Saccharomyces cerevisiae S288C: one gene and its partners. Changing the gene in region 3 together with the main gene of any one other region gives a genetic interaction. Each region holds a gene or a part of one and is shown on either strand. Other genes may lie near its edges. The genes, in order: CDC19, COX23, MPC1 and MAE1.

Region 1 (4,404 bases), on a different chromosome or scaffold from region 3:
ACCAATGATGAACTTAATATTTTCATATTGCAAAAGAATAGGTTGTGTCAATATCTCACAGGGTCCAAAATAAACATTGGTATCCAGTTTTTGTAACTTCAGGTCATCTATGGGGCTTGAATCTTCGATTTCCATATCCATAGCAGTGTTATTTCCTTTGCTTTTTGCGTAATTATTGGCACTATGTCACTGATTATATAAGCCACTTCAGTTTTCTTCCCATCTAATTAATTTTTCTTCGAAACACATTCTGTAAATAAGGGATTATGTTATGAAAAGAATACGTACTAGATGGCTAGAAGAATAGGACGGAGTAGCACTTATCGTTTCTGATAAGAGGATCAATCCTTTGAAATCTTGAAACGCGAATAAATTTAGGACACTAATTGAATCTGCCCGCGTCATTTTTTATAAAAAATAGATTAAACCACCAAACGAAGGCCAGAAGCTGAACATAGTTCACTGGCATCTGCATTTATGTACCCATGTATAACCTTCCAAGTTAGTTCTTGGGAAACGAAAATTATATTGAATTTTTTATTGAATTTTTAGCGTATCCTTTCGCCATCCTGATAATCATGATAACCTTGAGGGAAGATTATCTTGCGATGGGAGGGATCAAATTTAGCAAATTTTGACTCTATGTCAATCTCGTTTCCAAAAATGCAACACCTCATCGTTATGACGACAATTGGAGACAAAAAGGTTAACAATAACATAATACTCTTTTTATAGAATACCTTATAAAATGTATGTTATTTAAGTAACTTATAAATCTTTATTTGAGTTGAAAAGAAAAACCATGTCTTTATATAAAATTTAAAAAATATAATTCAAAAAAATAATATCTTCATTCAATCATGATTCTTTTTTTAAACGGTAGAGACTTGCAAAGTGTTGGAGTGACCAGCACCGGCCTTGAAACCTTGGATGGAAACGTAAGTGTCACCCTTCTTCAAGATACCGAATTCCTTAGCCTTTTCAATACCGAAGTTGATACGGGCTTCAACATCATCAGTCCAGTCAGAGACAGGTTCCTTTTCGAAAACGAATGGGAAGACACCTCTGTACAAGTGAGAGAATCTAGCAGCTCTTGGGCATCTGGTAACCAAGATGATTGGACAGTTTGGTCTGTACTTGGAAACCAATCTTGGGGTGGTACCGGAAGTGGACAAGACAATGATAGCCTTGGCCTTTTGTTCGAAAACAGCAGCGACAGCGGAGGCAGCGACGGTTTCGGTGGTGGAGGTTGGCTTTGGAGTACAGTTTCTCATGTCATCGTAGTTTGGCAAGTAAGCGATAGCTTGTTCAGCAATGACAGCGGTTTCAGCCATAGTGGTAACGGCGTTGATTGGGTAGTTACCCTTGGCGGTTTCACCAGACAACATAACACAGTCAGCACCATCCAAGATAGCGTTACCGACATCGGAAACTTCAGCTCTGGTTGGTCTTGGGTTGTAAGTCATGGATTCCAACATTTGGGTAGCACAGATAACTGGCTTACCAGCCAAGTTAGACTTAGCAATCAATTTCTTTTGGACAGCCAAGACTTCTGGGGCTGGGATTTCAATACCCAAGTCACCTCTGGCAACCATAACACCGTCAGTGACCTTCAAGATTTCGTCGAAGTTGTTAACACCTTGTTGGTTTTCAATCTTGACAATGATCTTGACGTCCTTACCTTGTTCACCCAAGACTTCTCTGATGGTCAAAACATCGTTGGCGGTTCTGATGAAAGAAGCGAAGACCATGTGGACACCGTTCTTGACACCGAATCTCAAATCTTCCTTGTCCTTTTCAGACAAAGCTGGCAAATCGACATCGGTACCTGGTAAGTTGACACCCTTGTGGGAACAGATCTTACCGGCGTTCAAAGCCTTGACCTTCAAAGTCTTGTCGTCAACGACTTCCAAAACTTGGAAAGACAAAACACCATCATCAACGTAGATGATTCTACCAGCGGAGATGACCTTGGTGATGTTCTTGTAGTCAACGTACATGATCTTGTCGTCACAAGCCTTAGCGTACTTGTCATCGGTGGTGAAGATCATTTCGTGGTTTGGTGGGATTGGGTAGTCAACATCGTTGGTGGTGGTACCAGTTCTGATTTCTGGACCCTTGGTGTCCAAAGCAATGGCCAATGGTCTACCTGGGTACAATTCTTCGGACTTTCTGGCGTTGTCAATGACAGACTTGTGGTATTCGTAAGAACCGTGAGAGAAGTTCATACGGACAATGTTCAAACCAGCCTTTCTCAAAGCAACCAAGGTTTCTGGGTTGTTGGTCTTTGGACCGATGGTACCAATGATGGAGGTTCTTCTCAAGTCAGAACCAGCAACAACGTTTAATGAGGTCAATCTTTCTAATCTAGACATTGTGATGATGTTTTATTTGTTTTGATTGGTGTCTTGTAAATAGAAACAAGAGAGAATAATAAACAAGTTAAGAATAAAAAACCAAAGGATGAAAAAGAATGAATATGAAAAAGAGTAGAGAATAACTTTGAAAGGGGACCATGATATAACTGGAAAAAAGAGGTTCTTGGAAATGAAAAGTTACCAAAGAGTATTTATAATTCAGAAAAAAAAGCCAACGAATATCGTTTTGATGGCGAGCCTTTTTTTTTTTTTAGGAAGACACTAAAGGTACCTAGCATCATATGGGAAGGAAAGGAAATCACTTGGAAGACATCACAAGCATTCATTTACCAAGAGAAAAAATATGCATTTTAGCTAAGATCCATTGAACAAAGCACTCACTCAACTCAACTGAATGAACGAAAGAAGAAAGAACAGTAGAAAACACTTTGTGACGGTGCGGAACACATTTACGTAGCTATCATGCTGAATTCTACTATGAAAATCTCCCAATCTGTCGATGGCAAAACGACCCACGTGGCAGAGTTGGGTCAAGTGCCAGTTTCTGGATTAAGTAACAGATACAGACATCACACGCCATAGAGGAATCCCGCCGTTGCGAGAGATGGAAAACAATAGAGCCGAAATTGTGGAAGCCCGATGTCTGGGTGTACATTTTTTTTTTTTCTTTCTTTCTCTTTCAATAATCTTTCCTTTTTCCATTTAGCTTGCCGGAAAAACTTTCGGGTAGCGAAAATCTTTCTGCCGGAAAAATTAGCTATTTTTTTCTTCCTTATTATTTTTTTAGTTCTGAAGTTTGACCAGGGCGCTACCCTGACCGTATCACAACCGACGATCCGGGGTCATGGCGGCTATTTTTTTTTTTTTTTTTTTTTTCCTTGTGATTGTTTATTTACATTTGGATCAATTCTAACAAAAAAAAAATAAGGGGGGAAAAATAATTCACCTCTTTTTAATATTGTTTTGTACTGAGATTAATCTCCAAAATACTAGCATTGACACACATCTCAAGTCATCTCAAATAAAGTCGGAAAACCCCCCCTTTCCAAATAATTGAGGTGACGTTGCCATGAACAGGGAAGCAGAATTTGATTCGAAGACTAAGACCAAGCATACCCATTCTCATTTGGTCCTTTCTTTATTTTTACTTCAACTCCCTTAACGTTCGGAGAAAAACTCTGGTTATTCTTCATGCGATATAATTGGCGAAAAAAATCTTGTCTCATACGTAAAAAGTATTAAAAAAATTGCCCATTTTGTGCCCGCAGACAACTGCAACCTATCTTCAAAAGCCGAAAAGGAGGTTTTCTTCTTATTCGCTGGACAGACCCTCTTTTTTGCTGTTGCTTTATTTTTTATGTTTAGAAACAAAATTTCCCCGAGAGAAAGGGAAAATATGTGGAAAAAGAAAAAGCACTTCCTTACCAAACGTCATTCCATCCATGAAATACTTGGCCGATTGAACTTTTCATTTGGTCCAAATATGGAAGTGATAAACGATCTTACTCCAACGTAGATAAAACATTGATAGTAGCCCTAACTGATATTATGGCAAGTCGGCCACACCGCTCATTAGGACAATTCCTTTTTTTCCTTTTTTTTTCTTCTCACTTTTCGGCTATCGGAGCCTTTGATTTAATCGCCGGTGCCTACGTCTTTGGTGTGTATCATATCGGTCTTGAGTCCCATACTACATGCTCTGCTAATAATAGTCATGCAAGTAATAAAGGTAATTTATGGTGAGGGAGGCTTAGGAATATCTAATACTAAGTGCCTAAAACATCAGCAGCAATACAACAATACAACAATGCAACAGGTTCAAAGGAAATAATCAGCAACGCTTTCAAGGGAGCAAGTTGTGGTTTACAACACCTACAATTCTTTCAAGACGTTTGCAACACTGCGACAAAAGTGTGACCGAATTACAAATTTAGAAGGCAAAAAAAAAAAAAAAGAAAAAAAAGTTGTACGTATGGTAGCGCCGCATATACTATGTAGTAGTAATATTGAAATATCTCTTGCGCGG
Region 2 (3,455 bases), on a different chromosome or scaffold from region 3:
ATAGAGCGTATGCAGTATCGTAGTTTGAACTGGTGTTCACACTAGAAACTTCTAAGTGAGAGTCAAAAATCCCAAAAAATGACGCCAGAGATGTGTTAGACGGCAAAACCTGCGAGCCTCTGCCTTCATCCTTCGATAGGTTTTCATTTAGTACTTTCATTGCTTGCTTATTTAAATTTCTTTCCAGCATAGGTTCAATGGAGGCTCCATCAAAGTCACCATTCAATGACAAAACAGATAGATCAAACATAGCATCAGTGAAGTTGCCCAGTGACTCGTTGGCAGATGCACGTCTCAGCAAGGCTTTAGAATGGTCAGGTTTTATCTCAAGTGCCTTTGTAGTGAACTCTATAACCTTCTCTAAGTCGCCCGTAGAAATGTAACAAGCAGATATGTTGGAATAGAACACTGGTTCATTCGGGTCCAGCTCAATGGCATACTGGTAGTATTTGATGGCCTCATTAAAATTCTTAGCAGTGAAGAAGTGGTTACCTCTGTTCTTCAGTTGCACGGCATACGCTTGTCTCTGGGAGGGTGATAGGCCTTTCAATTGGGCAATATCAGGCTCGCCATTGGGCAAGGAGGGATAGTCAAACCCTTCTCCCGATTTTGCCTTATTGTTCCTCTTGCGTTTATTCTTCTTCTTCTTCCTCTTATTACTTCCACTTACGACGCTGCCGTCGTCCTTTAAGTCCGCCTCGTCTTCATTTTGACCAGCAAAGGCCTCACTTTGACGTCGGTTGTCTTTTGTACCCTTCAATTGCTGCTGTTGCTGCTGCTTAATTTGCTGGTAGTAAACATAAGCACCCACAGCAGCAGTCCCCGCAGAGACCGTTGCTAGGATGGCCACTTTGTTCTTGGTGATAAACCTCAGGAGGGAGTTTTCGGCCATAAGAGCTTCTTATGTTCGGTATATACAAGTATGTAGAGATATATACAAAAAATTCTTTATTCGCACTTTGAAAATCCAATTTAGCTTGCTTATTTACATACCATTGCGAATTAGTTTTTCACATTGCACTAGAGTGTGCTGTGGCTGCCTGTCGGAACACTACGTCGCGTAGTGGCGATCTATATAGAAAACAGATCACAGCTGAACAAACAAGAAGAAAAGGCTGCCTCATTCCCACTGCTGTCTGTTTTTCCTCCTGGCTGTCAGCCATTGTTTCTTGCATTCGCGGTATGCGTCAAAATATTCTTGGCACTTGGATCGGTCGTAATCGTTGCGCTCGAGGCACTGAAAACTGAGCTTGGAGGACTCCTCACAAGGATCATAGTACTGACTGTCAGCCTTTAACGCGAATTTATACTTATTGACCGGGTTCTCCGGGTCGTCTGGGTAGTATTGAAATGACGACGGATCGTCGCTCTTTGGTACATAGTTGACTTTGGTTCTGTCCGTTACGGGTCCACTGGCCGCTGGTGGCGTGGAAGACGAAGATGGTTGTGAATTGTTGCTGCTTGTAGAGCCACTGTTGGTATTTGTGGTATCCCTATTATCGTTGGTCATGGTCATACCGTTGGAGATAGTGGAGAGACTACTAGTTTGCCGCCTGGTGGGGCTGGGCTTCTCCATTCTCTTTAAGCGCTCTCGTGAGAGAATATCACTGTTTACGGCCCACAAAGAGAATGAGAAAATTGATAAACCTTAGCATTGGGATCAGCAGGAGCCTTAGAATTCTGGGTGTGAACAGAAACACATTAGTGCATTAGTGTATAGGTTCGATATTATTCAAAGAGGAACTCGGTGTACGGCTCAACTGTAAACCGTACTTCTCGTTCTTTGTTCACTGCCCTGTTTCTGACTCTTGTGCCGTGAGCTTTTCTTCTTACAGTGTCGATTTCCTGTGCACATACGTTCTGTATAGTGGTTATTCCTGGATGTCTACTAATACTGTTCCCTCATCTCCCCCAAACCAGACGCCACCTGCTGCTTCTGGCATCGCTACCTCTCACGATCACACCAAGTTCAACAATCCCATCAGACTACCGATATCCATCTCTCTCACCATTAACGATACGCCTAACAATAACAGCAATAATAATAGCGTTAGCAATGGTTTAGGTATTTTGCCCTCGCGTACGGCTACTTCTTTAGTCGTTGCAAATAACGGTAGCGCAAACGGCAATGTTGGTGCTACTGCTGCTGCTGCTGCCACTGTGGAGACGAATACAGCCCCCGCGGTGAACACTACAAAGAGTATCCGCCATTTCATATATCCTCCAAACCAAGTCAATCAGACGGAGTTTTCACTTGATATACATCTCCCACCAAATACCTCGCTACCGGAACGGATAGACCAATCTACTTTGAAACGCAGAATGGACAAGCACGGGCTTTTCAGCATTAGGCTAACCCCGTTTATAGATACTTCATCCACGTCTGTGGCTAACCAGGGTCTTTTCTTTGACCCCATTATCAGGACTGCGGGCGCAGGCTCGCAAATTATCATCGGAAGATACACCGAAAGAGTAAGAGAGGCAATTTCCAAAATTCCAGATCAGTATCATCCCGTAGTGTTCAAATCAAAAGTGATATCCAGGACCCATGGGTGTTTCAAAGTTGATGACCAAGGAAACTGGTTTTTGAAAGATGTCAAGTCTTCCAGTGGGACCTTTTTGAACCACCAGCGTCTATCTTCTGCGTCTACCACTTCTAAGGACTACCTTTTACATGACGGAGATATCATACAGCTGGGTATGGACTTTCGCGGCGGGACGGAAGAGATATATCGTTGTGTTAAGATGAAAATAGAATTGAACAAGTCTTGGAAATTAAAGGCCAATGCATTTAATAAAGAAGCCTTGAGCCGAATAAAAAATCTACAGAAACTAACTACTGGTTTAGAACAAGAAGACTGTTCCATTTGTCTAAACAAAATAAAACCTTGCCAAGCCATTTTTATATCACCATGTGCCCATAGTTGGCATTTTCATTGTGTAAGAAGATTGGTTATTATGAATTATCCTCAATTCATGTGTCCGAACTGTAGGACAAACTGTGATTTGGAGACTACCTTGGAATCCGAATCTGAATCCGAATTCGAAAACGAGGACGAAGATGAGCCAGACATTGAAATGGATATAGACATGGAAATAAATAACAATTTAGGTGTTCGCCTAGTAGATTGATCACATGAAATTTTGTGCTATATATATATATATATATATATATATATATAACATAGAGTCGTCATACCTCTCAAAAAAGTGGCGGCCAGGGAAAATATTTAATAGTTTCAGTTCATTCCTTCGTTCATTTACAGTAACTTGTAGGAAATAGACCTTTCAATCCGTCACATTCACCATATGTCCACCCGCTACCGTCATCGCCTCTGATAACAGTAATTATGTCCCCCGGATCAATTGAAATCTCATCATCTCCCTGTGCTTCGTAGGCATATATGGCCTCCATCGTCCTAACAGGTAGTGTACTCCTTCTTGGTGGTGGTACT
Region 3 (3,513 bases):
TCACGGATCCTACTTACAGAAATCGCAAGGACATAAACTGGCAGTCGCTTAAATCCGTGAATGGATCGCAGGATTCTTACTACACGGGCAACTTCATTCCCACAAGTCTGGAAAGAACAGAAACTACTGCTACCGGGCAAAATGAGTCCTACATTTCTAACCCATTCAGTGACCAGAATACAGGGCATGTAACTAGCAACCAAGTTAATAGTGGAGCAAGCGGTGTTCAACAAATCGAAGATGATGAGGAACTAGCTAGGAGGTTACAGGAACAAGAAGATATGCGTGCGGCAAATAACATGCAAAATGGTTATGCTAATAACGGTAGAAATCATCAAAGGGAAAGGTTTGAAAGACCTGAAAAAAATTCAAAGAAAAACAAGTTCCTTCCCTTTAATGGGAGTAATAAAGAAAAGAAAAGAGACAAGTTGAAAAAAAACTGTGTAATTATGTGAAACCATGATTTCTTTTTCGTCTTTTGTATCTTTCTTATAGAATTATTTTTTTTGTGGGTGTCACCACGCTAGCGCTTATTTTTAACTCTACCACTTTTTAATTTTGTAAATGTATATTTTACTCCTTCATGGCGTTCAACTGGCCTATTTGTGATATATAACCTGATAATACCAATGATTTATTTTTTTTTACAGATTCCTTCTCCTAAATTTGTCCAAACAAAACGGCTCAAGAAGCCCCGAATAATGCACTACAGCGGAAATTAACATTTTTGGGATATCTTCACAGAATACTAAAGCAATCAAAGTGGCTCATAGTATTGAGTTTTACAAATTACTTGAAAAAAAAATAATCACTAGGCAGTTGCATAAAGTTGAAACTGAGGGAAGGAACTGGGGAAATCATGGGTGATATAAGAACTTTTGTTTTCGCTATAGAAGATACGGAAACAACACAAGGTTTGTGTAAAACCATTGGCCGTTCGAGTTCATTTGATCAAAATAGTCTATGTAAGCCGTACAATCTATATTTTGATGAGCCAGAACTAAGCAGACAGCATGCTGTCCTATGTATAAAGACACCAATACCCAAAATTGAAGGAGTTCCCTCTATAGAACAACTCCGCATCTGCATTCGGGATTTGAATAACAAGACTGGTACAGTAAACTTAGTGTCTGATGGGCCAAATGATGAAATTGATTTGAAAAATGGTGATGCTTTTGGTTTGATTGCAATTGATAATCATCCTTTTCGCGACAACCATCATTTAGCCGCCAAGTTAATTTTCCGAATTGAACTTGAGTATTTCGATGAAGCAAGGGAAATCGTAAAGTGCACTATTACAAATGTAACATTTGGAAAGAATAATACAGTGTCATCTTTCCCTATTCATTCTGCAACATCCACAGAAGATAGCGATTCAAGTTGGTACGGATTGTCGGAAGCGAGTACGCAAACGGAAGTTGCAGATGAGTGTCATGAAACGAACACCATATTGACTCGAGGTGGTAGGTTTTCTATCCTTTCGTTGAGAAAAAGAGGCAGCAAGCAAGACCAGAAGATCTGCAGTAACTTTGATAGAAAAATACATGAAACGAGTTCTTTCGAAGAAGAAATCGAAGTTTGCACTGACACAGACACCACAGAAGAAAAAGAAGAAGAAGAAGAAAAAGAAGAAGGGGATGATGAGGAAGGAGAAATAGAACTTGAAATTATTAGAGTAAAAAGAATAAAGGGCAGGACGAAGATAAAGAAGACGCTTACTTGCTTCTCGAAAAACAAGAAAATTATTACCCCTCAGCACTCCAATAGTATGTGGTTACTACTAATAGTAATCTTGATTTTTGACCGCCTACTATCGAATTAAATATAATTTTATAACCCAGTTCTATATTGCTGGGTGGTATTATAGCTTCATGGCTAGTCAAATAAGTGGAGTTTTTTGCTCTGGACGTGGCCTGTAAAGTTCTCTTTTGCGACGGCCCCCCGCTTTAACCGAGGCGAAATGACAAGTGCTTTCTGGCAAAGAAGGAATAGCCACTACAACCTGCGGTCTCCACCTTTCTCCACCGATAATCTATTTAAACACTCACTTGCCAATCAGCAAACGTCAATACATCTACATATATACGTATAGATTTTATTGCACTGTGATCAAAAAGAATGTCTCAACCGGTTCAACGCGCTGCAGCACGCTCATTCCTTCAAAAATACATCAATAAAGAAACTTTGAAATATATTTTCACAACACACTTCTGGGGTCCCGTATCAAATTTCGGTATCCCAATTGCTGCTATATATGATCTGAAAAAAGACCCTACACTAATCTCTGGCCCAATGACTTTTGCTTTAGTTACCTATTCAGGTGTTTTCATGAAGTATGCTCTTTCAGTATCACCCAAAAACTACTTACTGTTTGGATGCCACCTTATTAATGAAACTGCGCAATTAGCTCAAGGCTATAGGTTTCTCAAATACACGTATTTCACAACAGATGAGGAGAAGAAAGCTCTAGATAAGGAATGGAAAGAGAAAGAAAAAACTGGTAAACAGTAAAACGAGCAGTCTAAGAACCTGAAGTAGGTGACTAGATGGAAACATAAAAAAGAACAAGCAAGGATTAAGAGGATGGATATGTTCATGCATATTCTCTCATTTTTACCTCTTCTCCTTTTCATATATGCATGCTATAGAACCATTATCTCTATGAGTTTCATTTTATTTAGTAGTTAGTATTGAACCAAACTACATAAGATGACATATTCTAAATAACCTAAATAATTATTATGTCTTTATTCAAATATTTCTTTTATATCCAAGACAATTTCCCTCTCATCTCCTTTGTATTACTGATTATATTCAGCCATTCAAAAAGTTAAAAAAGAACGTTTTTCACTGAAAAGTCGCAGCTATATTATAGTAAAATAATAAGAGAGGCAAAATAATGGTTACCAACACTTAGTGAAGAACAATGGTGACCGGAATATCGGAGGAAAATGATGATGAAGAGACTTTTTCGGCTGTTCATTCTTCAACACCCAGTATTAATTCTCAATCCTACGCGATTCCTATAACAGAGGAAATGTCCAGCTCTTTCCATGATTCGATCAGCACCACTAGCAACTCAAGTGGTAGCTTCGATAGTGATGGAAGTAACGTTTCAGATGTTGTGGAGCAAAATGAAATGGACAATGAATCTAACGTTGACGAAGATTTGTTCCTAGATAACGATATCCCTCAGTCAAGCAATTTGCTACCCACGGATGCCCAGGATCCTGGTCCAATATTTGACGTTTCTAGATATATTTTTGATTCTCTAAAACAATCTATTGATTCTGCTGATTTCTCAGAGGCACTTTCTCTACAGACCAAAACCTCCGCTGTTATAAATTCGAAAAGCCTAGAGCTTAAACAATATATTGATGAAATGAAGAGCAGGCTCACTCAACTGCAAGAGAAGTTTGAAAATGGTGAGGCTACTTCAAAAAAAATAAAACGTGATTTAGAAACTTCAAGAAAGAACATCGACTATTTAAACGCTGCTTTGCGTGTCGATTT
Region 4 (4,931 bases), on a different chromosome or scaffold from region 3:
GGATATCAGAGCGAATAAACTTCAGCGTCACAGTCTCGGTAGCAGTAGCTGTTAGGCAGTGACCTAGCAGTAGAGGAAACAGAATACAATGCAGTACGATTACGGTACAGAGGATAACGAAGTAAACCACATTTACAGCGAGAACGAGAGACAGAAGGAGAGAGAGAACGAATGCGCCGGGCCGTGTCTATACTTGGCTCCACCAGCTGATGTGTGCATTTTTTTTTTGTTCCCATTCGTTCTCTCACCAAGGGGAGGTGGAAAAGAAAAGAAGAAAAAGAAAGTAAGGAAGGTCCGCTGCGCCTCTCCTTTGCTGCTGTTGCATCCGGACATCACACCCAACACAAAACCCCGCGCGGCCGTCGTCAGTAACCGTTCCACCCATTCCTCCACGGTATGTAGATCGCTAAGCACGATGTGTATGTTTTATGGATATGTGCCGATTTTTTCCGCATTTGGTATCATATTTTGTTTTGATAATTACCGTTCTTGTTATTGCTAGTTGCTTGGGTTAATGTTCTTGTGCTATTGTTGCTGTTGTTATTGTTTTTATTATTGTATTATTGTATTATTATTATATTATTATTATTATTATTATTATTATTATTATTACGGTATGTCAAGTATTATTTTTTTTTTAAAAATAAAGAAAAAAATTGTACAAATATATATATTTATATATTACTCTATATGGTTTTTTTTTTTTAAGTGCAGGCGTTGGTTATGCTTCGTCTACAATTGGTTGGTGTGCACCGATGGGTCATGTTGGACCTTGATCATAGGTCTGTACACAGGCTCCCACATTTGGGCTTTGACCCACTGTAAACATTCGTCAAAGTCACGAGGAACCTTGACAGTTTCGCCGGGAGCTCCTCCCGGTACTTGTTCTTGCTCGATACGGGCGGTTCCCTCCTCGAGTGCTTGCAAGATCACAGCGGTAGCTAGACGCGCAGAAGTGTTGGTGATGGTGTCCAGGCCGGGTAGCAACCCAGGTCTCGAGTCGCCCTCTCTTAGTGGCGACAATTCGGCTAGTTGGTCCACTGCAGCGGAGATCATCTTGTCTGTGATGGTGGTGGCACGCGATAGTACGGCACCTAAACCGATACCTGGGAAAGAGTAACAATTGTTGTTCTCCGAGATACGGTAACCATCAACAGGTGGGAAAGGAGATCCGGTAGCTACAAGAGCGTTGTTGTTGGTCCACTTCATTAAATCGGCAGGAACGGCTTCGTGTAGTCTAGTAGGGTTGGATAATGGGAAAATGATCGGTCTAGGATTGTGCTTGTGCATTTCTTCTACGACATCTTGAGTGAATGCGCCTGCTTGTGTGGAGCAGCCAACCAAACACGTTGGTTTGACGTTCTCCACCACATCATGTAAAGAGCGGGTGTTGATACCAGCCCATTCCGCATCACTCTTAGCGTATACGTGTTGGGCGGGAGTGGAGTTAGCCTCGTAAGATTGTAGAATTAACCCACGTCTGTCCATCAAGAAGATTTTCTTGCGCGCTTCTTCCTTGTCAACGCCGTGCGTGACCATATGATTCACAATTTGATCTGCGATACCGAGGCCCGCAGACCCGGCACCGTAAATAAGCACTCTGGTGTCTTTCAAGTCTCTGTTGGTATGTTTCAAAGCAGCAATCAACGAGGCCATCACGACGGCACCGGTGCCCTGAATGTCATCGTTGAATGATGGCAATTCGTACCTGTACTTTTCTAGTAATCTTCTAGCGTTCTTAACACCGAAATCTTCGAAATGCAGAACGGCGCTTGGATACACTTTCTTAACGGCCTTGATGAATTTTTCCAAGAAGTCGTCATATTGCTTACCCCTGATTCTGGAGAACTTGTTACCCATGTACAATTCGTCACGGGCTAGTTTCTTGTTGTTAGTACCGACGTCCAAACACACAGGTAGCACACGGCCGGGATGAATACCACCGCACAGCGTCATCAATGCCAATTTGGAGATAGCAATACGTACACCACCGATACCTTGGTCACCAATTCCCAGAATACCTTCCGAATCCGACACAACGATGTAGTCTACATCTTTGTCTCCACCGTATGTAGCCAATCTACATTCGATGGAATCAGGTTCGGTAATGTCTAAAAACACACCTTCTGGCTTTCTGAACCTGTGGGAATAGGCAGCAATAGCATCACCTTCGGTTGGGGTGTAAATGATAGGAACTAATTCCTTGATATGTCTCCTTATTAATGCAAAATATAGGACTTTGTTCTGTACTCTCAAAGACGTCATGAAGTCGTTTTTGGCCAAGGGCGTCTTCAAATAGCATAACTGCTTGTAGCTTCTTTCCAGTTGTTCGTCCAAAGTGTTCACTTGTGGTGGTAGCAATGCTTCTAAATTAAACGCTTCCCTTTCTTCTTGTGTAAATGCAGAACCCTTGTTAAATAAAGGAGAGTTTAAAAGTTGAAAGCTCTCCAAGGGACATTCTATGGCACCTTCTACAGTCAAACGAGTGGCATGTGGGTGAGGAGCTTCGAAGATCTTTCTGGCGCGAGAACCGACGGGTGTTTTAGTGACCTCCTCGTCGCTGTATGGCTTTTGGAAAGTATTTTCTCTTGTTGTGGTAGCTTTATGCGATCTAGTGTTAGAAGAATATAAACGCGATTGCTGAATAGGCCATCTTCTTAATGGTGCTGTCCTTGATGCTGTCAAGGATCTGGTTAGTTGCGATCTAGCAGCAACGGAAACGGATAGTCTGGTTCTAAGCATAACCGTATTTCTACCTTTTGTCTTGGTATTTATGTGCACTAAACTCGTTAAAAGTTGTAGGTTTCAAAAGCACAAATATCCGAAGCTGGACACAATATACGAGTAAGTATAAAGATACGCATATATATATATATATAATATGTCAATCATGCCGGTAACGGGTACGACTTCGAAACTCTATAGCGCTAAAGCTGTAGACCAAAGGAAGTCAAATGGAGCATACGCGGTACAGTAATAGGAAATTGCGAAAATTTTTCACCATAGAAAGGCGATGATGAGTCGAAGCCAAGGGGACTCAGTCACTCAGTCAGCTGATGCGATGCGATGTTAGCGCAAACAATAACGCGTACGATAATAAAACTTCAAATGCGCCAATTCTTTTTTTTTTTTTTTTTTTTTTTTGATTTCTTTTCATATATCCGATTTAAACCGCCTAGGGAAGAGTAAAAACCCGAATTGTTCCGTCTATACTTGGTTGTATGGGTGTTTTTTCTTCGATGCTTTTCGTATAAGAAGATATGCAGTGAATATCTTTCAATCGCCTTGAACGGTTGACAAGACGCAAGAATTTGAAAAACCTTGCAATGCACGATGCAATATTCAATTTGCACACATCGAAACGAATTGGTATCGAAAATAAACGCGAAACATATGAGAAATTTTTCTAACTTTTCTTCCTTCGTTAAGAGTGATCCTTGCACTGTGATGAATCGCTATAATTGTTGTAATGATTGACACTGGGTGAAGGGCAAAGGATGTCCAAATGATAAAAAAACAAAAAAATTTGGAAGTGTAAATTGTACCATGGGCGAATTTCAGGTTACTATTGTAGTCTGGTGAGTTAATACGTAATAATACTTGGTTTTTTTTTTTGGTTTTTTACTAAGCGTTACCGTGTGTAGTGATTATCTAAGCGGTTCTTGCAAGATTAGGAAAAAAGCTAATTAAGTGTAAACTTGGCAGCATGATTGCTCGTCCTAATCGAGCCAAAGATAGAAAACTACTGGAAGCAGCTGCTGCAGTGAGTAGAGTATGGATAGACCTATAGATGATATTGTGAAAAATCTTTTAAAGTTCGTCGTTAGGGGGTTTTATGGTGGCTCCTTTGTACTGGTACTCGATGCTATACTATTTCACTCGGTCCTAGCTGAAGATGACTTGAAACAATTGTTGAGCATAAATAAGACGGAACTGGGGCCGCTAATTGCTAGACTAAGATCAGACAGGTTAATATCCATACACAAACAAAGAGAATACCCTCCAAACTCAAAAAGTGTGGAAAGAGTTTACTACTATGTAAAATATCCTCATGCTATTGACGCAATCAAATGGAAGGTCCATCAAGTCGTACAAAGATTGAAGGATGACTTGGACAAAAATTCAGAACCTAATGGTTACATGTGTCCGATTTGTTTGACCAAGTACACACAATTGGAAGCTGTACAATTATTGAATTTTGATAGGACAGAATTTTTATGTTCCCTATGTGATGAACCGTTGGTGGAAGATGATTCTGGTAAAAAAAACAAAGAGAAGCAAGATAAATTAAATAGGTTAATGGACCAAATTCAGCCAATCATTGATTCTTTGAAAAAGATTGATGATTCAAGAATTGAGGAGAATACTTTCGAAATTGCATTGGCTCGCTTGATACCACCTCAAAATCAATCACATGCAGCATACACGTACAATCCAAAGAAAGGCAGCACCATGTTCAGACCGGGAGATTCTGCTCCATTGCCAAATCTTATGGGTACTGCTCTTGGTAACGACAGTAGTAGACGTGCCGGTGCTAACTCTCAAGCCACATTACACATCAACATTACCACGGCAAGTGATGAAGTGGCTCAAAGGGAATTGCAAGAGAGACAGGCTGAAGAGAAAAGAAAACAAAACGCTGTCCCTGAATGGCATAAACAGAGTACCATCGGTAAAACTGCTCTTGGTAGACTGGATAATGAAGAGGAGTTCGATCCTGTAGTTACTGCATCTGCCATGGATTCTATAAATCCTGATAATGAACCTGCACAGGAAACATCCTATCAAAATAACAGAACTCTGACCGAGCAAGAAATGGAAGAAAGAGAGAATGAAAAGACGTTGAATGATTACTACGCTGCTTTGGCTAAAAAGCAAGCAAAGCTCAATAAAGAAGAAGAGGAGGAGGAAGAAGAAGAAGAGGATGAGGA

What was found.
Region 1: mutations in MPC1 (region 3) and CDC19 together harm fitness more than expected from each alone (negative genetic interaction), as found in Saccharomyces cerevisiae (2 studies listed by BioGRID).
Region 2: mutations in MPC1 (region 3) and COX23 together harm fitness more than expected from each alone (negative genetic interaction), as found in Saccharomyces cerevisiae (2 studies listed by BioGRID).
Region 4: mutations in MPC1 (region 3) and MAE1 together harm fitness more than expected from each alone (negative genetic interaction), as found in Saccharomyces cerevisiae (4 studies listed by BioGRID, with this or other methods).

Annotation. Positions count from the first base shown.
Region 1 is NC_001133.9:69,757-74,160, reverse strand, and holds CDC19 (pyruvate kinase CDC19), read right to left. Parts: upstream 2,376-4,404; coding exon 873-2,375; downstream 1-872. Other genes in the region: YAL037W (uncharacterized protein), read right to left, coding at 1-141; YAL037C-A (uncharacterized protein), read left to right, coding at 643-735.
Region 2 is NC_001140.6:339,786-343,240, reverse strand, and holds COX23 (Cox23p), read right to left. Parts: upstream 1,577-3,455; coding exon 1,121-1,576; downstream 1-1,120. Other genes in the region: protein channel TOM71, read right to left, coding at 1-892; ubiquitin-conjugating protein DMA1, read left to right, coding at 1,882-3,132; BZZ1 (Bzz1p), read right to left, coding at 3,257-3,455. UniProt on the Saccharomyces cerevisiae protein: Required for the assembly of cytochrome c oxidase.
Region 3 is NC_001139.9:356,518-360,030, forward strand, and holds MPC1 (pyruvate transporter MPC1), read left to right. Parts: upstream 1-2,118; coding exon 2,119-2,511; downstream 2,512-3,513. Other genes in the region: MIY3 (Miy3p), read left to right, coding at 1-455; YGL081W (uncharacterized protein), read left to right, coding at 860-1,822; KXD1 (Kxd1p), read left to right, coding at 2,927-3,513. UniProt on the Saccharomyces cerevisiae protein: Mediates the uptake of pyruvate into mitochondria.
Region 4 is NC_001143.9:381,984-386,914, forward strand, and holds MAE1 (malate dehydrogenase (oxaloacetate-decarboxylating)), read right to left. Parts: upstream 2,743-4,931; coding exon 733-2,742; downstream 1-732. Other genes in the region: transcription factor TFIIE subunit TFA1, read left to right, coding at 3,775-4,931. UniProt on the Saccharomyces cerevisiae protein: NAD-dependent mitochondrial malic enzyme that catalyzes the oxidative decarboxylation of malate to pyruvate.